Linked DNA regions of Alligator mississippiensis. The protein of the gene in region 1 interacts with the protein of each later gene in a pairwise test. Links are inferred from orthologs where the notes say so. Each region holds a gene or a part of one and is shown in the gene's direction. Other genes may lie near its edges. The genes, in order: FHL2, CCDC92, SP2 and JUP.

Region 1 (7,260 bases):
TTTTTACCTGTATTCACAGGCAAGGTCAGCTTCCAAACTACTGAACCTGGCAGCAGCCAACAGTGGTGAAAGAACAGGTTAAGGACTACAGAAAACCCCTGTGTGACCGGTGTCCATCCCCGGGCCTGTAGACCTGACCCTCTCTCCCTGGGCTACCCAGCCACCTATCTCACCAGCCATGCCTTGATGGAACAATAAGTATGATGTTACTCAGGTGGGAGGCTGCCCATTTCCTACACCAATGCTAGGGGTTGCTGCTCCAAACCTTCCCTACATGGTGGCCCACATCTTGCAGATGGTTTATAAATGTTGACCTATGCCCTAGGGAGTTGGGTCGGCTCACTCCCTGTCGTTGTGCCTCTTGGCACTGGGGTCTGCCACCTGTCACTGCACCCCCTGGTACTGGGGGTCTGATCATCCCCTGTCACTGCACCCCTCCTCCCCCCACCCCCCCAGCACAGGGGCTTTGCACAGTAGTGTGCCCCAATGAGGCCTTCTCTTTCCCAAATAGCCTCAGCCACTGGATAAAACAATAACATAAATATGAGCCCCTGAGCTATAACATAATACAAGTCATACAAGCCACACTCTGGCTCCTTAAAAACCCCAAACTGCTCCTCGTGTGTTTAGCACCCTCCAGCTCTGGGTACCTTGTAGATGCCTGGAGCCTCATTAGCCACAGCAACAGTCTGGCCAGCAGCCACAGAGTTCCTGGGTAGTTCTGCCGTGCAGGAGCTCTCTTCCCCTGGCCACTTGCCAGAGACCTCCTCCTGCCAGCCTTGGCCCTGGGGTTTATATGTGCCCAGAGGCCTATCCCCTTCCTGTGAGCTGACTGGCCTGGGTTTTTGGACTATTAACCCCTACCCTCCTGGTGCTTGGTGTTCCTGTAGACTCAGGTCTTAAAAAGGCAGCCCTGCCTCTTAGTAACCGGACTAGGGTTCCCTGTTACACCCTGCTTGGTGCTGTTAATTGGTTCCTGAGAAACCAAGCATTAAGCAAAATGAGCATTAAGTGAAACCAAAAGTTTTTAACGGCCCCAGATGATGACTGCATGTGTTTTTAGTGACCCAAGATGGCAACCATGAGCATTATAATAAACTCACTGAACACTAAGTGGAATCAGGTATCAATTTTAAAATGAACATTATAGCATTAATGCATTATAGCATTATAGCAAAATAGTGCTAAGCAAAACAGACATGGAGCATGGTATAGGGAAGGATTAGAGTCACACACTTAGCACATAAGGCTTGAGGTGCCCTGTGCAGCACAGTACTAGAGTGAGGTCCTGCAAAGGGCCCAAGGACCAGTGAGTTCTTGTGGAGTTCAGTGGACCAGGGCCAACCACAAGCCTGTGGGCAGCCTCCTGATTCATTATTTTACCATCAAGACATGGCAGGGGAGGCAAGACTTGGGCACCCTTAGGGCAGAGCTGGCACAGTTGCGGAGCTGCCAGGGGCATCACAGCCAACCCTGGGGACCCCAACCCGTGACATTTAGTTTTAAACTACTTATCTTATTTAATTGGATTTTGTTCTGAGAAATGAGAAAAGACAGTTTACACAATAGCTACAGACACATGTGACATGCTAACTCTGTAAGAAAGAATATTTTCATAAAAAAATTATGAGATATTTCTCCAAGCTCCCTAATCTAATCTATCAGATCAGGCACACTGCCATGATGTCTGGAGATTGGGGATTCATACAGACAACTCCCATCAGCCAGAGCTATGTCATCAGCTGTTTTATCAAACTTCATTCAACTGACAATTTGTTCTGCCTGTGAACCATCTAGGGATGTTCTGTGCTACTATGAATTCTCAAAATGTCAAGTCCTAATTGGTTTGGGGGCCACAACCACACCTTCTGTAATGGCTCTGCCCCAAGCACAAATTGAGACAACATTATTCATTAGTGACCTTACAGTCAAGATTTCAGAACACCTGGCCCATTTTTTGAGTTACCCTGAAATACTTGCTGCTGGCCATTTCCACTATCTATATTATTTGTCATTTGAGTCTTTACCATCATCCAATCTGGGAAGATATCCCAGGGAAAAGTCCAGAGCAAAATTTATTTTTCTGTGAAGCTAAAAACACAAAAGTGCATATGGTTCAGAAAAAGAAATTATGCATACTTAAAGTCTGTATGCATGCCAACATTGAGTAAGACCTGTGAGAGAGAAACAAAAAAGATGTCCGTTTGGGAGTGATGTTCTTTGGAGTTTGGAAAATAAAGGAGAGAATAGCTTTGAAAACATTTATTTTGGGAAATTCTACTGAGACAGTCACTGAACTCAGTTTCCAGTGGCCAATTTCACTCAATTTGTTCATTTTGCTGCGTTAACATTAGGAATAACTGCAGGTAACAAGAACATGGAAAACCAAAAAAGAAATAAATATTGCCTCCTGCCACTTTAAGATATACTTGAAATCTGGTGTGCAAGAATACGGGGTATCCATCACAGTGCCTGGAAAAACAGCCAACAATAAAACTGAGCAAACAAAGAACAGCTTGCTGGAGTCTAAGAAAAAAAGAAAGGACAGCTCTTATTTATAAAATCTCTTCTGAGCAGCATAGGAAGAGAGTCAGAGTACTATTTCTGGGAGTTTCCTGATCCCATTTCCTCCATGGGCTGGAAATGATAGAAAGGGAACTTTGTCTTCCTCCCCTTTAGCCTCATACTTTATCCCTTCCCTGACTACCTTAGTGTGTGTGCTTGATTTCCCATCACAAACCTTTCCTAAATTACATTTCATTATAATACCCCCTGTTCCCTCAAAAGAATTTTAAGGGGCATTGCTCCTCTGTAAAACTATGTAGATTGAAAATCAGTTTCATTGGAGAGTGAGATGGCTAGCACCACATCCAAGAAGTCAGCAAGTGGGTATTTCTTTAAGCACCCACACTTTGCATACTCGTTTTGATATTTCTAAACTTAGCAAAAAAGGAGAGCCCTGGGATAATGAGATGCATGTGAGATCTGAAGAGGGTTCATGTCTCTTTAGGAAAGTTAGGGTGAGGTTCCAAATTTCAGGTTTACTGTGGGAAGCCAACTCCCAATCTGGAGCAACTGCAGTATCCCAACAGTAATGTAGCTAAACTGCAATGAACAACCCTATAATGACAAATAGGATATGCTATAACTGATGATGGCCAAGAGTAGTCCAGACAGATCTTCCACTGATGTCAGCCAGTCTCTGGATGACTTCAGGGCTGTGCTTATGTACAATTAGGATCAATATGGCATGCAGTCAGAGGCTTCCATTTGTAACGTCTCTGACTTCATGCTAAAGTTCCTTAAATGTATGTTCCTTCCTATGTGCTGATGTAACAGTGTCATCAAAGCGGAAGAATGGTCTAGAAGTTAAGCCTGTAGCCTGGAATTTGGGAGATCCAGGTTCAGTTCAAATGCCACAAACTTGTGTGACCTTGGACAAAGCCACTTAGCACCAGATCTTATTCCTCCTATTAGGAGCCTAAGTGCATTTGGTGCCCCATTACATCCTGCTAAGTCCCTGGAAACCCATCAATACATATACTTCTGTAGTGCTGCATCATCTTAAACCTCAGTCTAACATCACATCCACAGAAACTTCTTAGGTGTTTTTAGTAAAATTGAAGTTCTCACTCGATACATGAAAATGAACTTAAAATGAAGATCTGTTATTGTTCAGTTAGTTATAATAGAACAGGAGCAGTAGTGAAGGTAATGCCTTGATGATGCCATAGTACTGCACAGGGTGGGCAAGTATATATAAAGCTCAGGCATCCTCAGATTAAACAGAACAAAGGTCTGTGGTTGCTAAGAGCAGTGCAGCTCATTTCCATTACAGATCTTGTGCTACTTTAGGTATGATTCCTTAAAAGGCTAGCAGAACAGAGGTGCTATGGTTCTTATCTCCTTTGGATGGCTGGTCCTTTGGAGATATTGTATTTATAGCTCATCTGTAAACCAATGCCTGTCTAATTGCTAAATACATAGTTTGAGTAATCTAATAAAGCAATAAGCTTCTGCACTTGTCCTGTCCTCTCATTCTCAGACCAGAGAGCAGAGGCACCACCAAGCTGCAGCAAGGTAAGCACAAATCATTGTTTTTACTCCCCTTTCTGCCTCATTTTGAGAGGCAGACTTCCAAAATGCTCTACATACAGATCTACAGAAGATGGCATTCTTAGTGATTTGTTCATCTCTTCCTATAGATGTAGCATTTCACTTTATAGTTCCAGCCTAATGCTGGAAGCCAAACACTAAGTAACAGCTGTTCCTTATGCCTCTGCACTAATAATATACTGTCATGTTTTCACATTCTCAGAGAATACAACCATGTATAACTATAATCACTTCCCTGGACTCTGGGTATGAACAGGAAAGCGAGTGACTTCAGACAGAAAGCTTTTGATTAGTTTTTTTTTTTCCTCTATTAGCTTTTTCTCCTTTACTGATGAATATTTGGAAACAGAATGTGCATACAGAAACAAAAGAAAGATGAAACATATTGCTATTCAGCTATTTCTCCTTGACACCATTTCCTGATGGCCTTGGGAGAAAGAAAGTACAGATGACATTTACTGATGTCATGTTTAAACAACTATTTATTATGGATTATGGCAGCTGTGCAAAAGAAGAAAAAGTACTGATATGTTATGCAGTGTGAAAGCAGGAATTCTTCATAACCAGTATGTGAAATAGCATTAGCCAGAACTTGCAGGCAACTACTATCAGTTAAATGAATTATTTTTAACCTGATCTCAGAGTGAAGATTTTCAAATGAAGCCTAATAAAAGAAAACCTCTTTGGGAAAATAAGATAGTTTGGATGGAATTTGTGCTCACTTGATATGGTGTCTATGTTAGAAGGATTCTAAGCAAATACCTCAAAACTCCCCCAAAGTGGGAAAGAATCATGAAATTTCTTGCATAGATGAGGATTAAAGCCAATACTTTCACACTGTGTCTAAGGTTATTTATTATACTAATATTATGGGACTGAAATGAACATTTTCTACTTTTCCAAACATAGGTCGGAATGCTGTTTTCCACCCTTTTTGGGGAACGTGGAAGAGAGAGCCATATCTCTTCTCCATATGCTGCATCACAAATCAGATGTAATGTAGCCACCTTCATGCAGCACTATGACATCAGTTTTGGCACGTAACATGCGCAGAGCACAGTGGTATGGGTAACTGCGATGCTCCCTGTTGTGGTCCTAAGGCAGTACAGACAGGCCCTGAGAGTCTGAAAGCCTAGTGAAGTCTGCTGGAATGCTTCAGCTGGCTCCAACAGATTTGGATTGAGTTCAGTTTCTAAATGTGGATTCAGGTACCTAACTTTAGACACCTGGAGACAAATCCTCAGCAGGTGCAAACTGTCACCCACTGAGGATATTGCCCCTAAGCGTGAAAGTTTTAGAGCCAGCTGTCATGGCATAGTGCCAGCAGCACCTCTGTCTCTTCTTGCTGAGCGCACACACATGCAGGTGTTGGGTCTTGTGCCTTTATCTCCCATAGGGTGGAACTATGCAGTTCTTCTACTTTTACACCAGGTTTTAATTCAACGCCCACCATGCTTACTCAGGAGGTCTAAAAGGGTGCAAGTTGAGCAGTTATTTGTGAATCGGTGACCAGATGACCTTTTTAAGCCAAATCTTGTTTAATCCTAACAGGAGGAATATTGCATAATACAAGAGTAAAAGGAGTTTGAAAACAAGCAGCAGTGCACAAACATGTCTGTTTTATGTAAAGAATTACCATCCCTGGTGGATTCCTAGGAAAGGTTAATGTCTTCAGCTCTCCCAGAGGCTGTCAGTATGCATCAGTCTGTTTTTCAATAGTTATTGTTCCCCTTCTAGCTAGAGACTCTCTGTTTCAAATCCTTATATTCCTTCAGTCCTTTTGGCTCCCAGAATTTGCAAAATATATTTTTAATTTGGCTGGTGTCTAGAAGTAGCATCTTTATACCTAAAAGCACTGCTTCATATCTTTATGGACCTGAAGTCATTACTAGGTGTCTTACTTGGAGCCATTGTCCATTTCCTTCTTGTTTCTTCCAGTAGCCTACTATTAAATTAAACCAACCTATTCCTCAGCTTTGTATATGGACACTATGTTGAGATTTTTTTATTCTCCTTTAAAAACTGAGAAGGCATCTGTGGGAAGGAATTAGGTGTTTCATTTTACAGATGCTTTCTGTAAATGTTAGGCCAAAAATTAGTTTACATTTTATTTTACCTTGGAAAAAATGCCAGTGTAATGCAGGAATATATTTTTTAAAGCAGTACTCTTTGCTGCATTGAATTTAAAAGTCAAATTTGAAAAAGACCAAAACCACTCAATTTTAAAACTAACAACAGTTCTTTATTAACAACCAGCATTTGAAAAATACGATTAAATAGATAAATAACTTTATTTTTCCCTTCAAAATATCAAAACATCAGAACAAGAAAAACCTTTGATAGAAATTGCCAATAAGCTTAGAGAAGTAGATCCATTAAAATGGCTGTTTTACACAGAAAGTCTAAAAGGCTGTTTCTAAGGAAGAAAACTCAGAGAGGGAAAGGAATATGAACACATACTTTGAGTGAAATCTTGTCCCTGTTTTTTGAATTTTGCCCCAAACTTCCATTGATTTCAAGGAGGCCAAGATATTCCCTTTCCCTTTTATTTTAAATGACACTGAGTTTGTGTAGTTTTATAACAGTACAGGATTTTTCCACATCAATTTTCTTTTTGGAGGGCTAACTAAAAAATGTCTACTCACAGGCAGCTTGTATCTTAACTACCTGCAAGAGAGTTTTTTCAACTTGGATTACTTTTTACTGGCTGCAATATTTTATCTCTAGCTTTATACCATGGCAAGTTCAGTTTCATGCTGATAAATCCAGGGCAATTTCAACAATGTCAGTTCGTCATATAATGCTGATTAGGTCCAGGAGGCCTGACTGCATATTTGACATACTTCCCAGTTTTTTAAAAAGTGGGGTGACCATCTTTGCATGTTTTCTATCAACTGCATAAATATGGAAAGAACAAAAATCTATATTTCAAAACATACTGACCATTTAAAAAATAAATCACACTTCTGTTCAAATTGGTTTAGTTATTATTGTTACAAATATCACCTAACTTTACTAAATGCAGGAGTGATTAAAAAGAAGCATGTTTTTTCTCTGTTTTGCCTTCTGCTTTTGATAGGACTTTGTGCATAATTAGTCCATTTAACTGCTTTTCCTTTATGCTTGTTTTTTTCTGATGTCTAC
Region 2 (7,213 bases), on another chromosome or scaffold:
CCTGACAGCCCAATCATAGGGTGCAGAGCAGAGGGGAGCACGCAGCAGCTCAGGGAGAGGCCAGGCAACACAGCAACCGATAGGGTAGGCAGCAGAAAGCAGGGCAGCATAGCTTGTGTTGCACTTAGAGTCAGAAAGCTCATGCTGCCCTTGGGAGCAGAAAGCAGAGCAGCAGATCAGGCAGGGAACAGGATTGGAGTGGCAGTCAGGGAAGGTGTAGAGTTCATCTGTAGCATATCTGCCCCCTCAGCACTTCAAATGCCATCCTCAACTGGACGAGAACAGACTCCGCACTGTAGCTGGGCCAAGCTGGGCTCCAGACTTCGGTTTCTCGCCTGTAGATAGAAGGTCAGATCTGGATTCTGCACCCTGCAGCCTCCGGGACATGCTTCCTGGTGCAGCTTTGGGGTGAGATACTGCCAGCCTCCCAAGTTTGGGAGTTCAGTTTGAGGCCGTCGCTGGCAGAAGTCCAGCTTGGTATGCAAAGAGCAACGGGCTGGAAATAGCAGTACTTTGCACTCACTTCCTACAGCGCAGCCTCTTTGAGGATTTCAAACAGCCAAGGAGATCCTATGGATGATACTTCACAACACCCTAAGAGATGACAGAGAAGTTCCCATTTTAGACATGGGAAAACTAGGCACCGGGAGGTTAAGATAATCCTTAGAGATCGTTCAGCAACAGCCCCTTTGGATGTGCAGCTCCCCTGTCATTTTGATAGGGAGGCAAAAGAAAACCCCTACAACTTGAAATGTCAGCATTCAAAAACTGAAAAAAAAGAGTGTTAACTTTCCTCCTAACTTTTCAGCTGCCTGCAGAGCTGGTTGAAACTATTCAAACTGAAACATCTGAAACATCAGGGGGCAGGAACTGAAAAAAAAAATCATAAAAATGTCACATTTTATTTTTAAATGTTTCTAACCCAAATGTGTCTGTGTTGAAAGCTCCCTTCCAGTTTCCAAGGGGATTTGTCTTACCTCAGTTACAATGATGCATTTTTTTTAAGTGACATGTCAGGTTCAAAGGCTTAACTGATGTGATGATGCCTGCTTTCATTCAAACCCCATTGTAGGGTTTTTTCCACCTCCTCCTTTTGTGCTCCATTATTAAGGAGTCACGCTGAATTTAACAACATGCCTGCATTTGCTTCCAGGAGACTTCAGAAGTCAGATACATTTGTCTTTCGGCAAGAGTCCTGTGCGACTCGGTTTCTAGGACACACAAATGGGCCCTAAATGAAGAGTCCAGCCTGCTCTGTCATGGTATTTGCAGCAAGCTGGTTTAAAAGGTCCAAGGGAAAATGGAAAAAGAAGTGGGATCCAACTGACAGGGCAGAAGACTGGTACAGGACGCTGCAGTCAACTCTTACCTCTGCCACTGGCTCACCGCAGGACCTCAGGCAAGTCACTTCAACTCCCTGAGTCTGAGCTTCCCTTTGATTTAGCAGTCCCCAAACTGTGGTGCACAGACCACTGCTGGCCCCCAAAGCCACGGTGAGTTGTCCCCAGCTCGACCGGAGATTGCATTGCTACCCCTTCTTTCCATTACCAGGTTGAGGACAAGGGTGCACGGTGGTCCACAAAACCTGTGGGCACCTCTTGACCTGTGCTAAATCGGAGGCGACAGTAACGCTTCGGAAGGATGAATCAGCTGCTATTTCTGAAGTGCTTTGAAGATGAAAATTGCTAGAGGAGCGATTGCTATGATGATTAGTGCCCCAATGGCAAAGCTGTTGTGGTTCGCTGAGGCACACAAGGGCCAAACTAAGGTATTTAGGTGCCTAACATGCTGATAGGTCCCAATGGGATTTTCAAAAGCCTCTACAGGAACTCCCAGGGGAACCCGTCACAAGTAACAGAGAATTATACCTGTCCTTCACAGCTCGCAGCTCCTCCAGATTTGCAGTGATTGCTGACCAAGGGCATTTAAAAATATGCCAAGTAGGACCAATACACAGGCCAGGTCAAGGGACTGGTGAATTTGGTCCCGAGAGAAAAAATCTGAGAAGGGGTGGAGTAAAGCATTGGGGTTTGCCAGCCCTGGGAGGATGTCACTTTGGGCAGTGAAGAGGCACACGCAGGGAAAGACTGCAGGCGCATCCAGCTTCTTCTATAGGTGCCTCCTACCATAGCATCTGAGCATCCATACAGTGAGACGGTTTCTCTCTTTCCAGCCTGATTAGGATTAGCGTTGTGTGCGGCTGTATGTGCACTATGGGAAAACTCAATAGAAGAAACGAGTTTAGCTCTTTGATACAGCAAGGTCTGTGGTCGTCCTTTTCTATCATGGGAGTGAGTCCCAAGGTCTAGACAGGGATTCGGTGACACGTCTGTCTCCTGCGTGCACAGGACTCTCCCTGCTGGCAGATCGCTGAACGGTCCCAGGGAAATGCAACAGAGAATAATTCTGGAGCGATGTTGCAGGCTGCGATGGTCCACAGAATAGGCAAGAAGCAAGGTTTGTTTGGGAGTATCGTTCACTGGATCGTGATTCCAGCGGGAGGGCTGGTTCCTCAGGTCGCCAGGGTGAATCTGGTCAAGAGCTTGCACTGTCCAGATAGCAAGTGAGCGTGGGTTCACAAAAGCTCATGCTCTCTATATATCTTATTTAGTTAGTTTGTAAAGTTGCATATCTACCCTGCCTTCTCACTGACTGCAGACTACCACAGCTAACTACCTTTCTCCGCAACTCTGCACTCTTTGCTCCATAGGTTTACTGTATCTTCCTCTTCTTTAAGTGGCTATTTTCAGTTACATCATGGAATTAAAAGTCACTGTGTTCCCTGACGTTAAGCTTGGGCTATGTCTTAAGAAGCCAGGTACAGCCCAAGACCTGAGACAGGGCATTTCAGGAAGCCCCAAAAGCTCGTCTAACATCTCTGCCAGCTATATCATTAATCCAATAAATGCTATTACCAAACAAGGTGCTTCAGTGCAGAAGTTCAGTGCTGTGCTGCTGTGTTGGGAACAGCCAGGGTCACTTATATGGGTGGATGCATTTTGCATTAGGTAGAATTGTATCAGGGCATGTCAGCATTGTTCCAGGACAGGAAAAGAGTTGCAGGAACCGATACAGAGGTGCGAGACATGGGGATCACCACGACCAAATGTGTCTGACATACAATAACCAGCTCCCTTTTAGGCAAAGCAGAGTCAGTAACACAGCAAGGTCTGCTAGCATTTACCTGTCACAGATATTGTATAAAGCTAGTTTTTAAGTACTTGCTACCAATGGCTTACAAAAGCCAAAGTACTGTACATTTATACTCTTACTTTCATCAACCAAACGTCTCATCGAAGAATGAAACCGGGTTTCTTCGATGAGATGAGTTTCCCGTAAAACCGTGTTGACTGGCGTTATGTTCCCACGTGCTCTCAGCCGACTCCTGCCTCAAGTTCACTATAACTTTGTCAGGGATTGATGTCAGGCTGAGACACCCCTTTGCCCTTATTGAATGCCTGTTCGACATTAGCGCCATGCCAGTCTTCTGGGATACGCTGTACTGTAGGATTCGTTAAAAACTACCGTTGGTGTGACAGAGATCTCCTCCCAAACTCTTTGAAGATTCATGGTTACAATGCCTCTTGCCCTGCTGATTTCAAAATATGTATCCCAACTCGATGTCGCCTACCACCCGTCTCAGTTACTATTGTGCTGGAAAATATTTCATCACTTGTGTGTGGAATGGTACATCAGCCTGCTTCTTCCCAAACACAGCAGAGCATTGGGTCAATACCTCTATCTTTTCTGAAAAATGAACAACAATATGCTCATCTCCACGAGTAGTGGACCAAGACCGCTACTTTAATTCCAAATATTCCTTAGAAATCCCCTTTCTTTACTTGCCTCTACTATCAGGGAAAAACATCTGTCCTATATTTAGCTTCCTTTATCAATGTTATATGCGCTCCGTAGCTTATCATTCGTATCAAGATATATTGCTAGTTCTATGTATTTCCTTCTTTCTCCGCTTGTTTCTAGGTGAGTTTTTTTTATTTCTAAGCGCAGTCTTCAAATCATCGTTGACTTTGGATGGGCTTGTAACGAGAGACATCCTCTTTGAGGATCGCGGAAATGCATCCAGGTAAGAACTCCTCATTTTCATTCATGTTTTTCCGTCCAAATGTTTCCTTCCAGGCAATCGGGCTCAAACGTTTCCTCTCCTTTTTATAAGCACAGAGGGTGTGGGCTTCCACCCAACGCGAGCAGGTCAAGTTCATGGGTTAATAGGCAGCCACTTCCTTCCCATGAATTCCTCTTCAGTCATGCTAATGGGGACCACCACTGAGTTGCCTTATGCTGGGTTTAATATCTTGTGTGTTACAAAATGATCGCTGGTAACAAAGCGCTAGTGATGTTACGTGACAAATCCGACCTGCGGCTCCGAACCCTGCGTCCCAGAACCACGGGGGTTTAGGTTAGATATTAGGGAAAACTTTCTCACGAGGAGGGTCATAAAACACTGGAACAGGCTGCCCACAGAGGTGGTGCGGTCTCCATCCTTGGAGGTTTTCAAGACCGGGACAGACAAAGCCTTGGCTGGGATGATGGAGCTGGAGCTGGTCCTGTGTTGAGCAGGGGGCCGGGCTAGATGTGACCCCCGAGGCCCCTTCCACCCTCATCTTCTGTGATCTATAACCAGGCTCTCGTTAGTTGGGCGGCGCTGCTGGCTGTAGGTCCCTGCCACGTGTTACATACATGACATGCTGTTACATGCATGACGCGCAGCATGTTACATGACGCGCTGCCCATCACATACATCAGTCACGGCGCATTACACGTGGTGCACTGCACGTTACATACAGGGCACCGCATGTTACATGATGCGCTGCACCGTACATACTGACACTGCACATTACGTGACACACTGCACATTACATGCGTGGCACCGCACGTTACACGACGCGCTGCAAGCGAGAGCGGCGCCCAGGGAGCGGAGGGGCCGCCAGCACAGCGCCGCGCGCCGGGCTGCTGTCGCGGGACAGCCCCGTCTCCCACGTGGGCCCAGCCCGCCCTGTGGCAGAGCACGTGACCGGGGAAGGGCAGGGTGGGGCGCCGCGCAGGCCCCGCCCCCAACGGCCGCAGGGCGGGGCCGGGCGCGCGGCGCAGCTGGTGACCTCGTCGCCACGGCAACGCCGCTGCGGTGGCTGCCGCCGCACCTGCGCTCTGCGCCTGCGCCGCCGCTGCCGCCGCCCGCCCGGCCCGGGCACGGTGAGTGGTGGGGGTGGCTCCGCACTGCGGGGGCCAAGGGCGGGGGCTTCCCGGCACCACCCGGCCCCGGCCCCGGCCCCGGCCCCGGCCCCACTCCGCAGGAGGGGAGGGGAGGGGAGGTGGACAGCTGCCGCCGCCGCCGGGCCTGAAATTGCTCCTCGCTGCTGGGGCGGCCGCGGGAGACCTGGGCTCGGCCCCCAGCCCGTAAAGGTTGGGCCCTCAAATACTGGGGGGTTCGCCCCCCACACACTCCTATTTTTGCATCAAAATAGTGCCATTTTCGCCCCCAAAACTGTGGTTTTAACCCCAAAATACCGCAGTTTAAGCTCCCAAAATACTGTGGCTTCAACCCACAAAACCTGGGGGGTTAGCCTCTGAAATACTCCAATTTTAGCACCAAAACACAGTGCTTTTAGCCCCCAAACTGTGGTTTTAGCCCCAAAATACTGCAGCTTCAACCCACGAAAACGGGGGGGAGGGGCTAGCCCCTAAAATCCTGGGGGTTTAGGCCCCAAAATCTTGCCGCTTCAATCCACAATAGCTGAGGGGTTAGCCCCCCCCCCCAAACTGGGGGTCAGCCCCCCCAAATACTCCCGTTTTAGCCCCCCCGATCATGCGGGTTTCTGTGGCGCCATCGGGCCCAGCCCGTGGTCCCTGCGCTGCGCGGGGCGGGTCGCGGGACCGCGGGGGTCTGGGGGCTTCGGCCGCTGCGAGCCGGTCGACCTGCCTCGCATGCTGCCGTTTGCCGCTGGCTCGCTTGCTTTCTCCGGACTTGGGAAAGCTGGCGGCAAACGGCCCCTGGGAAATTTTGAAGGCAGCTGTCAGACGGTACGTCGGGGTTGTTTGCCCCACGTCGACATTGCTGTTGTACGCGCCCGACACGCGCGTGTGCGTGTGCATGGACAGGCGTGTGTATACATGTGGATAATACAGAACGTTGAAGGACGTTTCATTTTGCATCACGAACGTGAGACGATTTAGTAGCTCCGTGTTTGTTCGCGGGGGTGGGTAAAGTTCGGACACGTTCGTCTTCCTGAATCTGTTTGAAAAAGTGACGCTGTCGATTCGCTTGTCAATGACACATGGTGGCGTTTTCGGTATATGATATCTCGCTGTAAGATCAGTGACCCGGCAGCTTAATGTTGACGCTTTAAGGGACCGTTCTGGCATCGCCAGGTCGGAGACTCTCTGATTTCCCATCGGTGAAGTTAAGCCGGATTTAGGAGTTGAAGGGGGCGGTTGGAGGTCTGAGAAGAAGGAAGGAGCTGGGTCTGGGAGGGAAGTTTTAGAGGAGCTGAAGTAATTGAGGTCTGGCTGTCATATTTAAGCTTGCTATGTCTGTTTTACTGCAACGTACAAAAAGGTGCTTGTTCCACATCATTATTCTTACTGCATCGCATAAGCACATAGGTGTCTTGCAAACATTAGACACCTTTTGTAGACTCTGCCCTGCTTTAGGTGCTGGGAACGTATTATGATAAGCGAATACGACGAGCACAAGCAATATCGTTAGACTACGAAGTGCAGCAGCTCTGGCAATGTCGTTGAAAACGGTGGTGCTGAATGATGCAGCCTCAGAGCATGGGTGGAGTTAAAGTGGGGAGGCTGCCCTTTGTTTGGAGAAGAAATCTTATCATTCAGGCTGCAGAATCAGGACTCCATTGATTTCCTTTGCATCTGGAGGATGCCATCTGAGCTGTCGTCTGATCGTGTCTTGTGTCTTCATCTGGCATAATATTCTAAAGAGCAAAATCAGGTGAATGATTTATTTGCTTCTCTTGAATTTTTTTTGTTCTGCTATTTTGCTCTTGCATCCAATGTCAGGCTCTCGGAGCGGCTTTGCCTCCATTTGCAGGAACCTGCACTCCTCTCTAATGAACCCACAGCTGACTACAGATGCCGAGGCATTGGTTACTGCATGGTATTAAAACTGTTCCCCTCCCCGGCAAGAGGAGGGAGCAATGCATCAGTACAGCAGTTAGTAATCATCAGCATCTATACG
Region 3 (7,359 bases), on another chromosome or scaffold:
GAGTAGAGGATGTTCCTTCACTGAGGAGGGTGAAGGGTGGATCTCGGAGGGGGAGCAGAGCCCTCCATCAAGCCATGGAAGTCCCCTCCAGTCCCCAGCTCCAGGAGCCTCCCTTGAGGGTAAGCTGTTTTTAACGAGCTGTTCCCAAGCCATTGTTGTGTGATTCTCCCCTTTCGCCCCAGACGTGTCACGGCAGGTCCTGCAAGAGGGAAGGGCATTAGCTGCTTCAGGTCCTGATTGATGTTCCTTCCAAACAACCTCCCTTGTGCCAAAAGTTGTAGCAGCACAAAATACAGGGAGGCCAAAAGGTTTCTGGAGTGTGGAAGCTTCCATGGCCCGAGAGAGGGAGAGAGAGAGAAAGAAAGAGAGAGAGAGGAGTGAAACCACCTCAGGGCAGAAGCCAGCTTCTGTGATCTGCCCAGGCAGGGTGGCATGGAACAAATGGGAAGTTGTGAAAGGATCAGCAGGGTCATTTCATCTGTATGTGTACCTGGGTAGGGAAAGAAAAGAGGTGAGGGTGGGGGGTGATAGGTGAAGGAGGGTGACAAGGGAATGGTAGGGGAGGGCTGAGATGAGAACACCTGCCTTTTCTGCAAGCTAAGCCTGACTCGCAAATCCCCAGCTTTGGATTCTGACCCCTCTCCTCTGTGCAGGGGAAGGGATGTATTAAGATCTGGAGCCTGTGGCCAAGGACATGTATGAAGGAGACATCCCTCCACCCATTGCTTTGCTGGGGCCCCTTTTTGCTGCCCATCAGCACAGTCCCCCAACTGAGATCCTTCAAGTAAGAATGATGCCCTCCCATCCAGCCTCGCCCTTACCCACCCTCCAGGATCCAGTCTGGAGACCAGCCCCAAAGCTTCACTCTATTGGATCAGAGGGTGGACCCTCCCTGAAATTCCCCCTCCACCACCCCCATTGGAGGGAGAGGCCACCCACCCCACCTACCGCATCGTGACAGGTTCCTTTTTCCCCAATAGAATAAATAGCCACTTTCTCGGAGGGGACAGCCATGTACAACCAGTCCCATGTACAACCAGCTGGAAGGTAAGGCAGCAGGTAGGGAGCACCCCTCACATGGCACCAGAGCAGGGCAGGGACGTCTTGGTGAGGGCAGGGGCTCAGTTGGGCTGGGTGAGGGTGCTGGAGCTTCCGGCATCGGGCTCTCGCTTCCCTTTCCCTGGAAGGTCTGCCCCACCCTTCCCCTCTCCTTCTGCCCCCTCCTTGGTGCCTTCATGTGTCTTCATATGTTTGCTGAGGTGGTCACTCCTCATGAAGACCCGGCTGCACACGGGGCAGGTGAACTTCTTGGTGCCTGTGTGGGTCTGGAGGTGTCTCTGGAGCTCATCAGACCGGGTGAAGCGCTTGCCGCAGAAAAGCCAGTTGCAGACAAAGGGGCGGTCCCCACTGTGCCACCTCAGGTGGGCCTTCAGGTGGGACGTCTTGGCATAAGCCTTGCCACATCCAGGAATGTGGCAGTTGTGAAGGTGCTTCTTCTTGGCACTGTCTGGGCACGGTCCTACCCTCTCAGCTTCCTGGCAGTTTGGGCAGCGGCACACAGCCTGACCAGAGCTCCGTGGCATGGATCGTCTCGAGCTCTTCGGCCTAGCAGTGCTGTCCATGGCCTGCTCAAGAACATGGGGATCCTGCGGAGATTCAAGCTGTTTGACCCCTTCCTGGCCCATCAGGTGCTGGGCAGAGGGCAAAAGGTGGTGAGGCGGACCGCAGAGCTGGTGCTCGGTGGAGCCATAGCCCCCCAGTGCTGGCTGGAGTCCCCCCGTGTGGCCTGGCGCTTGGAGGCCACCTTGACCATGTTGAAGGTCCATCCAGCTGGATCCAGCATGAAGGTCCCACCAGGGGTTCACACTGCTGTCCTCAGCAGCATTGCTGGGGTGTGAGGGCCTGAACCAGGGCTCGTAGTGGTGAGCCATTTCAGGAGGTGTCTGCAGGAGCTTGGAGTAAGAGCTGGGAGCCAGCGGGTTGTCACTGTCCAAGTCTATCCGTGAAGAGCCATGCAGGTCATAGCTAGGGGTGGCCGAGAACTCTACGTCAGGGACCACCAAGGGCAGGTGTGGGAGCTCTGGGGGCTGGAGAGAGGAAAAGTCACCTCCTGCCTCGGAGCTGGCGTGAGGCTGGTAAGTCTGCAGTGGCTGCAGGTCCAGGTGGGTGGGGGAGGCACAAGGTGTGTCCGAGTGCTGATTGCCAAGAGAGCCACAGACAGCTGTTAGCATTGCCGGACTCCAAAGCAGCAAGGCAGCCCAGACAGACCTGGAGGGAGGAGACAAATACTGTGAGAACCTCACACGTTTCCCTTCCTTCAATATTAAACCAGTGCCTTCTTTCCTTGGAACGGACCAAAGTTCCCCTTTCCCCCTGGGTCCCAGAGATGAGTTGGAGCCACAGAGTTCACATCAAGACCACTTGTTCATCAGAGGGCTGAGATACTATGGAGTCCCTCTCTGCCCAGAGCACCTTCCAAGGCACAAGGAGTCAAATGCATGCCTAACCTTGCTCTCGTGAATTCAGCAGATCTATTCCAGGGACAAATTTTGCCTGGAAGTGCTCCTGTCTTACATCAACTGCACTGAAGAGGCACAGACTGTGCTGCAGTAACAATACTTAGCTCTCTCACAGCTCTTTTCATCCATAAATCTCCAAGCACTTTACAAAAAGGAATTCCTGGTCATTATCCCGATGTTACAGGTGGGGAAAATGAAGCAGAGCACTTATGTGACTTACCCAAAGTCTCCCAAGTCCTAGCCCATTTGGTCACCCACCTTCCTTGCTATCCTGCCCCACTGGGCTAACTGCGGGGAGTCAATGTCATCAGGTCAGGAGAACATGGTGACACCCCACCAGCTGCCCTTAACTGGTTGGATGCAGCTCTCAATCCCTTAATATACATGGGGCTTACTTCCTATAGCGGGGTCTCCTGAAAGAGGAGAACCAGCTTATGCCAATAGATCAGCCCTCTCTCCCTGTTAACAGCATGAACTACTGTCTCAGGCCTTGGCTGTCCTGGGGTAGCACCTAGAAACTGTTGTCACTGGTTTCATGGGCCAGCCAAGCAGCCAGGATGGCTCGGAAGGTATTTTAGAGGCTCCTACAAAGTCAGGGGTAGGCTGTTCTGTGGAAGGGGGATTTAAATATAGTTTATTCTCCCTTCCTAAAAGGCGTTTGGAGACAGGCCCCTCTAATAGGCAGCTTCTGGGAAGTAGATTACAGTAATTACAGTCTCCTCATCTCTGTGGCTGGATGTGACTTGAGCTGCTCTGATCTGGGCCTGGGGTGGCAGGGGTGTGGGGAGACCTGGCTGGGTATTTATAGCCTTGTTCTCATGGCTCTGAAAAGGGCTCTGGAACAGATCAGCATCATTTAGCAGCACCTCAGGCCTAGCCCCATGGGAGCAGCATGTAGGCATTGGCTGGTCAAGGGTGATCAACCCTAGGAGATGGCCCACAGTAGCATTTTGTCCCTGGGATTGGCCCATGCACAATGTACCAAAGCAGGCCAAGCTTTGTTTCCAATCCCCAACTCCATTGGGCCCCTGGCTGGTCAGACAACACTGTAAATGAAAGGGAGGTGCAAGGCACTTCACACTGTCATTACGGTGACTGTGTGCAAGCACAGCCACTGCTTGGGACACAACAGCTGGTACCTCTAGCATCTCCTGGTATAAACTAGGCCAGCATCCTTTCAGTGGTAAAATCTGTGGTCATTGATTGCCATGGGAGTTGGGCACTGACACAGGAATTAGATACCCAAGTGCCTTTGAGGATATGACACCAGTGTCTTAGGCAGGGCCAGCCTTATGGGTGAGTGATATGGGCAACCCCCAAGGGTGCCATGGTCAAGGGGATGCCACACACACACACCCCCCACCTCTGCCTCCTTGCTAGACTGTGCCCCATGCCCCTGCCCGCCTGCCTCTGCCTCTCCCCCTACCTGCAGCACTGGAGGAGGTGGTGGTGGAAGTTGGCCAGCAGCGGGGTTCGGCAATGATGAGGAAACGCCACTACCCGCTGGACTGGGCAACGCAAGTGGGCTGTGAGCAGTGCCCACCACCCCTCAACCGTGACTGGCTCTACAGGTCCTATGGCTCTGCAGGCCAGCAGCACCTGCATCTCATGTTCCTGCTGCTCATTATCATGGGCATCTGCCTGGCACTGCTCACCTTCTTTGCCTCAGGACTGGTGAAAAATGAGTCTCCCCTCACCCTTCTCCCCCTGCCTTGCTTGGCCACCACCAGGGCATGCCTTGGGGAAGCAAGACTCCTGATCCAGCCCAGCAGCGCCCCTCGGACTTTTATCTCTGAAATTTCACTAATACTACTACATTCTTAAACTCAAAGAAAGGGCACCAAAATACAAGATTGCCTAGGGCTCCATTTTCCCTAAGGCTGGTCCTGGAAGCCATCATGGCATTTCACCTTTCTCTACCACTTGTAAGGAAACCACCATGCAACTTTCTGCCAGAACTGCTGTAAGCCCACAGACATGCAACATCTAGGTGCAGCCTGCAATACAATATGCAGGGCCGGGATGCTGATCCTAGGGTGCAGCCTCCTCCCTGTCCCCCCTGTTCCTTGTGACAACTAATGCCATAGTGTGTAAACACAGCACCTCCTGGTAGGAGACACCATGTGTAGTTCAACTTTTCTCTGTTGCCCGTGGCATGGTGGCACCTTATTCTTCTCTTGCCAATGCAGGTGTAGATCAGCAGCATTCCAGCGGCATGAACAAGGACCAGGTCCTTGGGCAAGGGCACAGCTCTCTCCAATAGCAAAGAGCTGGCTCTCATTACACTCCTATCCAAGCACCTCAGATCTTTAATACATTCAGACCCAGTGGGGTAGGGAAGGGCTGTTATCCCATTTTACGGGTCAGGAACTGAGGCACAGAGAGGCTAAGTATCTCACCTAAGGTCATACAGCGAATTTGTGGCAGAAAAAGGAACTGACCCCAGGTCTCCCAAGCCCCAGGCTAATACCTGGATCATCCTTCCTCCTATTGTCTCCACTCAGACCCTTCCTAGAGGAGAATGAGGCAGAGTGGTGGCTTTCACTCCCATAGGAGATGTTCTATACTGTACTTTGTCTGTGCTGCTACCCCAGAGACACAGGACTGGGCATCTGGTTGCCTTGGGAGGTCTGTAGAGGCAGGGCAGAGGTTTGGAATTGTCTGACACCAGCACTCAACACCATCACGAACCAATGAACCCTGCTCCCTTCCCACAGATCCCTGTGACCCTCCTTGTTTCCCTCTCTGCAGCAGCTCCAGCATAGGGGCCTGCTCTGCTATAGCAGCATTACTATGAAATACAATATGGCATGAACAAACCCAAAAGACACACTGTCGATTACACAGCTGGTTCTGAGCAGCTAGGCTTGGACCAACAGGGCAGCATGAGGTCTTCACAACAACTCCAGGGTAACAGATGAGGCAGATACTGGCATGGGGAACTTAGGGGGCTAATTGAATGCTCTGCACATCTGGTGCAGCCATTTGATGCATCTTTTCTCTAGGCCCTGCTGGATTTTTACTTTGTTTTGTAGGCCCTAGGATGCCAGGACCAGAGTAACCACCAGGGACAAAGCAAAAATCCCAGGCAGCCCAGAGGCCATTTCTAGCCACCCCAAAGCACCCTCATCGCCCCAGCATATACAAGGCCAGCTCCCTTCAGCAGCTCACCTTGGTTCAGTTTTACTGCCCCTAGCCCTGCTCTACTTTGCTTTGCAGAGGCTGAGATTGGGGTGCAGGGCCTCGGCTATACATGATGGGATCCCCATTCCTTTCCCAGGAGCCTGTGACTCATGCTGCCGAGCTGTGGAAACCCTGTTGGCAGGGCGCCCCACCCCAATGTTGAAATCCACCTGCCAGGACTGGCTCCCCTGCCCTCAACTTCCCATCCCTCCTCTTTGGGGTTCAGCTCCGGCACCACTTTAGTGGCCATCTCCATCCAGCCCATGTGTCTGGATACCGCCTGCATCTAGATGCCCCATACCCAGCCTGGCAGCTCTCAGTTCAGCTGCCTCCACATCCACCCCTGGGCCCTCTGCTAAGTCACATTTCTGCTGTAGAGAGGGAGGGTTTTCCCCCCTTCTGTTGCTGCACACAGACAGGGGAAACCAAAGAACAGGTCACCTCATACACAGCATTAAACACACTGGATCCCCAAGCAGCCCTCTTGAGCATCTGATATCACAACAGCAGGCAGCAGCTTTTAGACAGGGTATGGATTTTGAGCTGATGGCCATCTTTCCCATCCTGCTAATGACCACTCACAACCAAATAGTCCAGCACTGTACAAGAATGACCCAACACCAAAACCATTTCCCCAGCACCCAAAGCAACACAGGTCAGCAACCAAGGGAAAGAACAAGTTCTGTCCACTTTATTTGCTCCTCAACCCTGGCCTGCAACCTCTTCCCCAGCCCCACTGTGCCCTGCATTGTGATGGAAGTGTGGGATCAAAGATAAGCACTACTCTTGACATCATAAAATAGGAGCATGGGAGGCAGAGGAAGCCGACAGTGCTGAAACAGGGGGAAATTGGCATTAGAGGGTGTCTCAGGGAGAGGATGAATGCAAAGGAGGTGTCAGTTTGCCTTGACCTCCAGGTAGACCAACATCTAGAACAGAGACCCAGGTGTGAACAAGTCCAGAAAAGACATAGTGACATTAAAACCGTGGACCTCCACAGAGCCAATGGGAGGTCCTGGTTCCATGATTAAAGGTTGGCACCCACAAAGCCCATCAGAGAGGAAGACCAGCGGGTTTTAATGAAATATCTGAGAGGTCTGACAGCACTGAGATGGGGAGCTGGGAAAGACCAGTGGTGCTGGCAGGATATGGGCAGAAAGGGAGTTCACAGCAGGGATGAGGAATAAAGTCCTGGACTAGGAGCAAGGGGACATCATCAGCTCAAAATCCATGCCCTGTCTAAAAGCTGCTGCCTGTTGTTGTGATATCAGATGCCCAAGTGGGCTGCTTGGGAATCAGGCACCCTGGCCATAAGGGTGATAACCAGAAAAGAGAGAAGGGATAGAGGCAGCAGAAGGGAGTCAGTCTGTTTGCAGCAGTGTGTTTAATGCTGTGTATGCGGTGACCTGTTCTCTGGTTTCCCCTGTCTGTTTGTGTGCAGCAAAAGAAGGGGGGAAAACCCTCCCTCTCTACAGCAGAAATGTGACTTAGCAGAGGGCCCAGGCAGGCCCAAAGCTGGAAAACATTTTTATTTCACCTTCAGAGGAAGGTGACCCTTGCCCAGCCGAGCAAAGAGGTCCTTGCAAGTGCTGAAATCTGAACACCACATTAGAACCAGCAGCCTCCCACCCCGCAAACACCAGTAGGAGTTCAGCGC
Region 4 (7,246 bases), on another chromosome or scaffold:
TAGCCAACAGTTAGTGATGTAGCACCCTGGCCCCTTCAGTCAGAGGCTGAGAAATTTCACTTTGGTCCTCCAAGGAGACCTCTGTCAAAAGCAAAAGGAAAAACCTAATAGTTCCCAAAAAAACAAGCAGCACTGAAAAATAAGACCCCTGCAGGCCAGCTCTGTGCGTCAGAAAGGAACAACAAATGACTCAAGTTCTTGTTTTAGAGGTCTTTTATTTTTTGTTTTGCTTTATATGCAGGTCACTGAGAACAAAAGTTGTTTTTTTCCCCTCTTAATAAATTCTCAGCAATGTCTTAGGGGCAGCAATGATTGCAACAGGTTTCACGTGCAAGGCTGCTTGCTTGTACTCAGGATGTGGATTTGATTGAAAGCAGAGTGAGAAGGGGTTAATAAAATTTCCTTCTACAGGCAGAGGAAAATATGAATACAGAGCCCAGAGTCCCACCAAGGTGATAACTGACAGGTGAGCAGAGATATTGTAAGGATGGGGGGAGGGAAGATTGTGCCAGGAAGATCATTTCGCTGCAACCAGCCAAGGTGTAAGAAGAGATAAGGAATGGGCACGGATGGCAGTAAGGGAGGTGCAGGAGGCAGGTGACTGCAGGGCTCCATCTCTGTGCCACCACTGTGAAACCGGAGCAAAGCCCATTGAGGCTGAAATTGGCAGCTGGTTTCAAGCATGTTCTTTCTGGGGGTGGGGGATAATCCTGCTAGACAGGTAGACCCCTCCATCCCTGCTTTCCCAGAATGGGGGTGGCTGGGAAGAATGTGTAATGTACAAATCACAGGAAAATGCAAACCTGAATGGAAATGGAAAGAGACAGGACAATGGTGGCAGCCACTTTGCCTACTGGTTCTGTGGTTTGTGAAGCTATCCAAGGGTAGCAGTCCTTACACCTTGTAGTCAGGCCACATGCTTCCTGCCAGAACACTCCTAGCTTCCAGGAACAAGTGCTTGGTTACACTGGGACCCAAATGCATTGTCTTGAAACTCTCTGTGTGGAGAAAGACACAGGTGCCTCACCTAAGTTGCTGTGCAGGGCCATGCCTTGCCTGGGCTGGTCGTCTTGTCTGTAAAAGCACCTGATGATATCTGCTGTGCACATGTTTGTTTCCAAACTGTGCAAGCCATGAGTAATGCCACAGTCATATTTGGCTCTGCTCTGGCAGCTTTCATCTGAAGCTTTCAAAGCTCTTTGCAAATATGAGGCAGCCAGAAGGCCTCTGATAATTAAAAATGGAAAATAGAACGCTTTGTGTTCCTAGTAACACCTTCTGTGGGAGGATCGCAAAGCACATTCCAGCAGTAATGAATAAATCCTCCCCCTTTGCCGGAAGGGAGGTGAGTCTCATTATCCTCATTTGAGCAGGGAAGAAGAAGAAGAAGCGAATGTGGGTATTTAGGGACAATATTTTCAAAAGTGTCCAGGGATTGTGGGTGTTCAACTTAAGACTCCTTGGCCTGCTTTTTCCAAGGTGATTATGCAACTCCTGTGAAAATCAGGGCAATGATCTGAGCACCCAGAAATTGATGTGCCTGAAATCAGAGACTGACATTGGGGAAATTTTGTGGCTGAAGTGACCTGCCTGAGTCCCTTGAGGAATCAATGACAGATCAAGGAATAGAAGGCAGGCTCCTGACTCCCAGTTTGAACCCCAAACCTGTGAAACCCAATCGGCGTGCTGCCATTTTTCTGCACTGTACCATTGTCAGGGATAGATCTATGGGGGGTGCAGTGGCATGGTTGCATGCCCATTCCACAGTAAATGTCATGCACCAGTGTGACATCTCCCTGTGCTTGGGTCTCCTGCCGTGTCCAAGACATGGCTGGAGCCCTGGGCTGGAGTGAGACACCCAGGGGGATAAATCAGGGAGCAGCTGAGTGATGGGGGGCCTGCCCACTGCAGCCGTTGTCTGTAGCTGACCAGGGAGTGGTGGAAGCCACAGGACTGCTCCTATCCTGCTCCATCCAGCCAAGGGCTGCAGGGACTGGCTGAATGGGCTGCTGGGTCAGTGGCAGTGACAGAGAGGAGTTCCTGCTCCCTCCCCATCCATTGCATTTCCCCCGCTGGCCAGGGGCTCCAGCTGTGGGGAGCACATGCACAGAGGGCCAGGCACATTGCAGGACGGTGGTATCAGTAGATGTTCTGCCCTGTCCAGCACCTGCTTCCAGACCATGGGAGAGAAGGAGCAATCCTGGGCCTTCACCTGCCTCCAGGTTAGTTGAGGACAGCACTGACAGTGGACTTCCAGGTGCTCCTGCTCCTTGTTAGTTCCCCAGGTGTCCCCCACAATCTGGGAGCAAGCACTGGAAGCAGGGACCCATATGTTGTCATTATCCCTGGCCAAGCCTGATGCTGCCACTTACCAAAGCCGCCCAGTGGAGTGGGGCAGGAGCAGCTCTGGAGTATCCCCTGCTCCTGCGATAGCAGGGAACAATGGCGGCAGTGGGTGGGTCCCCATTTTTTGCACCCAGAGGCAACCCCTGCTGGAGAGGTGAATGGGAGGGGAAGGAAGCGGGTGCTGAGAGTTGGGGGGGAGGGGGTCTTACCTGCTTTGTGAACTTAAAAAAGTCCTCAGCAGCTGCTACCTGGCATTGTCTGTGGTGGGGTGGGGGGGCCTTCAAAGTCTGTTGTGGCACCAGCGGCATTTCCTGCACCTCCTTTTCAAATTCCTAGATCTGCCTATAAACATTGTCCTACTGTTTCCCCTTCCTACCACCTCTTAACGTGATGCATTTTACCACTGTTGAAATACCGAGTCTTTCATACAGCGCCGTATCTCAGCAAACAGTTCTGAGAAGGAAATAATTTGGTTCCCAAGATATTTCACATTCAAGATACTTTATTGCTGTTTCGAGCCAGACAAAGGATTATCAAAGAGCGACTGAGATGGAACCCTGAGGTATTGGTCCCTGCTTGCATGTGTCCCTGGCGACGGCTTCGCACTACCACTGGGTTTTTTTCTTTTCCTGTCCATTTGTCACTATTGCCCATGAAAGGGTGGCAGGTTGCTACATAGCGAGACACAACTCCTACCATCTCGTTCCTCTCCCCTCGGGTCACGCACAGCTTTTCCTCATTGCTTTTTAATAGGAAGTCCTTTATCATTCCTGATCATTGGAGAAAATATGTTTTTTTTTCGCCTTTCCTCCGGACTCGTGATGCTAGCGTGTAGAAGTGACTCGCTCTTTCAATTTCTCTTCTGTCACATTGTTTGCAGAGCCAGTCCTGTCTGGGTTTGCGCTGTGTTGAGGGGGCGTGCAAGGGAGAAACCAATGCTTTCATAGGAGGCTAAAAGACAAATGGGGAGGAATTGGGCTGGTGCAGACATGAGGAGCAGGCTGCCATCAGAGTGGGAGCCGGGAGAAAGGTGGCCACGTCTAGATGAAGGGAGGGGAGCAGAGAAGGACCTGCTGTGCTTGCACCCAGGGCTTGCAGAAGGAGGAAGGTGCTTTGCAAGGTGCTCCTGCAATGAGCATGGAGCCAGAGGAGGTGTTTGAACGTGTGGCCATTGGACGTGGCTTGGCCCATCAACCCAACCAGGGGCAGACATTGCTGAGGGTGCCCGGGGGAGCAGGGAGCTGCCCATGGTGTCAGATCCCTCTCCGAGCCCTAACGCCCACCTGTTCCTACAGCCGGTCTCCCCTTGCCCATGGGCAGGGGCCCACCGTGGTCATTAGTAGGTGGGGGAACAGAATGCGGCGCGGTGGGAACCGCGCTGTGGCCGTGGCAGGGATCGGGGCCGCGGAAGGAGGCTCCTGGGACACAGGGCCGGGGAGGGGGCTGGAGGGCAGCTGTATGGCCCTCCCCCCGGCCCTGATCCACCCCAGCCCCGCTCAGCCTTCAGCCCCGCCCTCACCTGCATGACGTCACCCACGTGGGTTTCCCCCGCGCCACGCCCTCCCCAGCCCACCTGGCTCACTCATCCCCTCGACTCCCGTTCCGAACCCTCCCAGCCAATCACGGCCCCGCCTGCCCCCCCCCCCCCACCCCAGCGGAACGCGCCTCGGCCAATGGGCCGCCGGTCAACACAGACCGGGTGGTAACGGAACCCCACCCCTGCGGGCATGACGGAGCGCGAGCCGCGCCAATGAGCGGGCGGCGGTGAGTGGGCGGGGCGAGTGTCCATGGGGACGGGCGGGGAGGGCGGGGCCGGGCTGCGGGCTCAGGGTTCGGCTGCCTTTTGTTCGCGGAGGCGGCGGCCGCGGGCAGTGGCCGGGCAGAGCGCAGCGCGGGGCGCGCAGGTGAGTGCGGCCGCGGCCGAGCAGCGCCGTGTCCCTCCCTGGAGCCGGGTCCCCGGGCTCAGCCTCACCCCTACCCCGCCCGCCCCTGGGTCCCGGTGCCGGTGCCCGCCCGGCGGCGCCCCCCTTGCACCCTCTGCCCTGGCGCGGGGAGCGCGGCTCTGCCCAGCCCTGGCTGCGGGGCTCTGAGCTCGGCTCCCCGGGGGCATCCCGCCGGGGACGAGGGGCCGGCCCCGAGCTGTGCCCCCGGGAGGGGCCGGGGCAGGCGCCTTGCGCTCCCGGCCTGGCCCCTTTCCGTCGCCGCGTGGCCGGCGGCCGGGTAACAGGTGCGCACCTGCTTGCAGGGACCGTCAGCTGCCAGCCGTCCAGGAGGGTCGATCCCGTGGACTCGTGCCGCCGCCTGGGGAAGGAGCATACGCTGAGCTGGTATATCGACGTACGTGTGTGTGCTGTGTGTGGTGCTGTTAGTGTGTCTTTGACCAACGGCGCGGCAGTTAAGGGCTGCAAGCAAACTTGTAGGCATAACATTAATACAACTCTGGCATCCGACCCCTTGATACAGTAGCATTTGCAAATGGCCTTGGTTTCTGCTCTCCCCCCCCCCCGGCCCCTTTGAACGTGGCATGTGCGAGGCTACAGCTGAGCTTCCTGCTAGAAGTTGTGTTGCAAGGAGAAATTGGATCCTGATGGGATCTTGAGAGTTGGAAGGCTCTTATCTGTCTTGAGTAGCACGTGGGCCCCGTGACCCAGTGCATGCAGTACAACCAGCGGAAGGACTCCGCTGCTTATTAAGGATGAGTGGTGTAAACTGGGTTTTTCTTGGCTCTGGCAGCTTGACTTCTCAGCTTTTCATTTGCTGTTTGCTAATTTGGGAAATCGTGGGAACAAGTGAGGTAGCTTGATTTAGCCTTGATCGGTGCAAATGACAGAAATCACTGAGCGAGATCCTCTCCAAATTCACTTCAGCTGGTCCTTCAAATGTTCCTTTTTGTAAAGCGCATAATGGGGCTTTCCTGTTTTGTTGCTCTTTTCCGGCTGCAGATTCTTTGAGGAGCAAGTTTGCTTACTTGGCTGGCCTTTCCGTGACAGTACAACTGCTGTTTCACTGACTGTTTTGGGAGGAAGAGTCTAATAGTGTTCAGACATAGCTCTCCATATGCTGACATAAGATGGCAATTTCTTTCCAAGGCATGAGCACCAAGCACTTAAAACCATTCCTCTGTATAATTGACAGGGCAGAAGATCAACACATGAGCGGCTTTCAGGAAGAGATTGTAGTGCAGCTGCTTATAATCTAGGTATCGGAGAATGTCTGGTTTCTGATGCTGCTGTATGGTATTGGGTCATTATAAAACAATCGCAGCATGGTGCTTTCTGGGTTTGCTTGGAAAAAGTGGTATGTGATTGCGTGGCTTTTTGCAATACACACCAGTAAGTACAGTGATTATGTGTGTATTCGGGAGCATTTGCTGTTTCGGTTTCCCTCCATTAGAATCCACTGATAGGTTTCTCTTCCCCTTCCTTTCAGCAGCCCTAACCTTGGGTTATATCATTGACTGCTATTATGGCACCAATCCTGCTGGCTTGACAGGATGAAGGATGGTGAAAGCAAAGGCCTGGGAACTGGAGATGCAGGCTCTGTGCATGGATTCATTGTGGAGCTCCCAGTTTGACCTTGCCAGAGTCGCTTTGGGCCTATCTGTCAACACTACCCTGAGCTGTGCAGTGAGAATCCTGAAGTGCTACCGCGTAGTTTTGTCAGGCTTAACTTTTGAGGTTTCAGAAGCGCTTGGAGGTCTTGGGAAGGAACTGCTGGAAACTTGCAGAGTACTGAGGTGTCTGGTCTTGCAGCTTGTTGGGCATAGACACTTGAGTTGTGCAAGGATGTGTCAGGATTGTTTGCCACATAGTCAGCAGCTCAGTGTTGCTTCTGGGGTTTTGGCAGCTTGTGCCTCCTTGTTCTCTGTGCTCCTTCCAGGGAGAAGGGGAGGGCATTGCCCAGCGTCTGTCAGACTCCTCGGAGCCAAGTTTTTTTGCTCCTCTTTGAGCTTTGTCCTATTTGCTGCACTCCACAGGATGTTGGAGAAGCATGTGAGAGAGAGAAAATGAGAACACATTGGCTTTTGGGTGTCTGTCAGAGTACCACAAACTGCCTTAAAACAAGAGGGAGTTAGTGCTGCTGGTGTGGAAGTCAGTCAAGTGTGTAAGGAAGATATGAAATATGCTGCAACCTCTATTTTCCGAGTTCAGGTTAAAAAGCTGAGGAATGGAGTCTGGAGAAGGAATTCGTGCGGTAAAATTAGAAGTGTGCTGTCTGCTACGCTGCAGGGCTTTTGGGGGGGGGGGGGGGAGAATACTCCCTTGCTGTCTTAGCCTTGACACTGGGAGAGGAGAGGGTGCTCTAATTGCATTAGCTAAATGATTAGCTTAATTAATCAGCTTTATAGCACAGATGAAAGGATAGTTCTGGAGTGTTGCTGGGAGTTGCCTAGGAAAAAAAAAGCTCTTGTATGAGGAGCTTGAAAAGATGCTCTCTGCCAGTGCTTCTAGTAAATTTTTTTTTTGTGTCAGTGCCCTAGTGTAGGCTGCTCTCAGTAGGGAGGGTATATTTTAAGTTACGCTGAAGAATAACAGCTATGCAAAAGACTGTAGGCGATGTGCATGGCACTGTACGAAATATCCAAATGGAGATCCCAGGAACAGGTTTCAAAGGCCTAAGGCAGTTGTTCTGATGTGAAGTGGCTTGATATGTAGCACTCTTTGGACTTTCCTTTTTGGGCTGGGATCCATTCTAATGCCCTCAACAGCCGTAGCATCTGGGCTTTCGGAAGTGGTGGGCAGTGGACATCTTGAGCTGGGGGGCGGGTAAAGCTGTAAAATACTTGGGATTCTCAATCAAGGTTGCCATTGTCAGTCACTTACAAGTGGATGTCGTTAGTGAAGCCTGGCAGGCACTGGACCTCATCTGCAGAAAGTACAGGCATGTTATAAAAGAAGAG

The links.
Region 2: the proteins of FHL2 (region 1) and CCDC92 interact in binary tests that used the Homo sapiens proteins (3 or more experiments, as listed by UniProt). The two-hybrid records come from large-scale screens. The link is inferred for Alligator mississippiensis from reciprocal best matches to the Homo sapiens genes FHL2 and CCDC92.
Region 3: the proteins of FHL2 (region 1) and SP2 interact in binary tests that used the Homo sapiens proteins (3 or more experiments, as listed by UniProt). The two-hybrid records come from large-scale screens. The link is inferred for Alligator mississippiensis from reciprocal best matches to the Homo sapiens genes FHL2 and SP2.
Region 4: the proteins of FHL2 (region 1) and JUP interact in binary tests that used the Homo sapiens proteins (3 or more experiments, as listed by UniProt). The two-hybrid records come from large-scale screens. The link is inferred for Alligator mississippiensis from reciprocal best matches to the Homo sapiens genes FHL2 and JUP.

The regions. Positions count from the first base shown.
Region 1 is NC_081824.1:347,635,180-347,642,439, reverse strand, and holds the start of FHL2 (four and a half LIM domains protein 2), read left to right. Parts: upstream 1-3,982; 5' UTR 3,983-4,080; intron 4,081-7,260. UniProt on the Homo sapiens protein: May function as a molecular transmitter linking various signaling pathways to transcriptional regulation. Negatively regulates the transcriptional repressor E4F1 and may function in cell growth.
Region 2 is NC_081833.1:6,110,077-6,117,289, reverse strand, and holds the start of CCDC92 (coiled-coil domain-containing protein 92), read left to right. Parts: upstream 1-3,979; 5' UTR 3,980-4,074; coding exon 4,075-4,084; intron 4,085-5,108; exon of another isoform or gene 5,109-5,211; intron 5,212-5,363; exon of another isoform or gene 5,364-5,421; intron 5,422-6,522; exon of another isoform or gene 6,523-6,967; intron 6,968-7,213.
Region 3 is NC_081827.1:167,528,566-167,535,924, forward strand, and holds the start of SP2 (transcription factor Sp2), read left to right. Parts: upstream 1-3,998; coding exon 3,999-4,204; intron 4,205-7,359. Other genes in the region: transcription factor Sp6, read right to left, coding at 1,122-2,231. UniProt on the Homo sapiens protein: Binds to GC box promoters elements and selectively activates mRNA synthesis from genes that contain functional recognition sites.
Region 4 is NC_081827.1:163,145,332-163,152,577, forward strand, and holds the start of JUP (junction plakoglobin), read left to right. Parts: upstream 1-4,156; 5' UTR 4,157-4,250; intron 4,251-4,591; 5' UTR 4,592-4,673; exon of another isoform or gene 4,674-4,683; intron 4,684-7,246. UniProt on the Homo sapiens protein: Common junctional plaque protein. The membrane-associated plaques are architectural elements in an important strategic position to influence the arrangement and function of both the cytoskeleton and the cells within the tissue.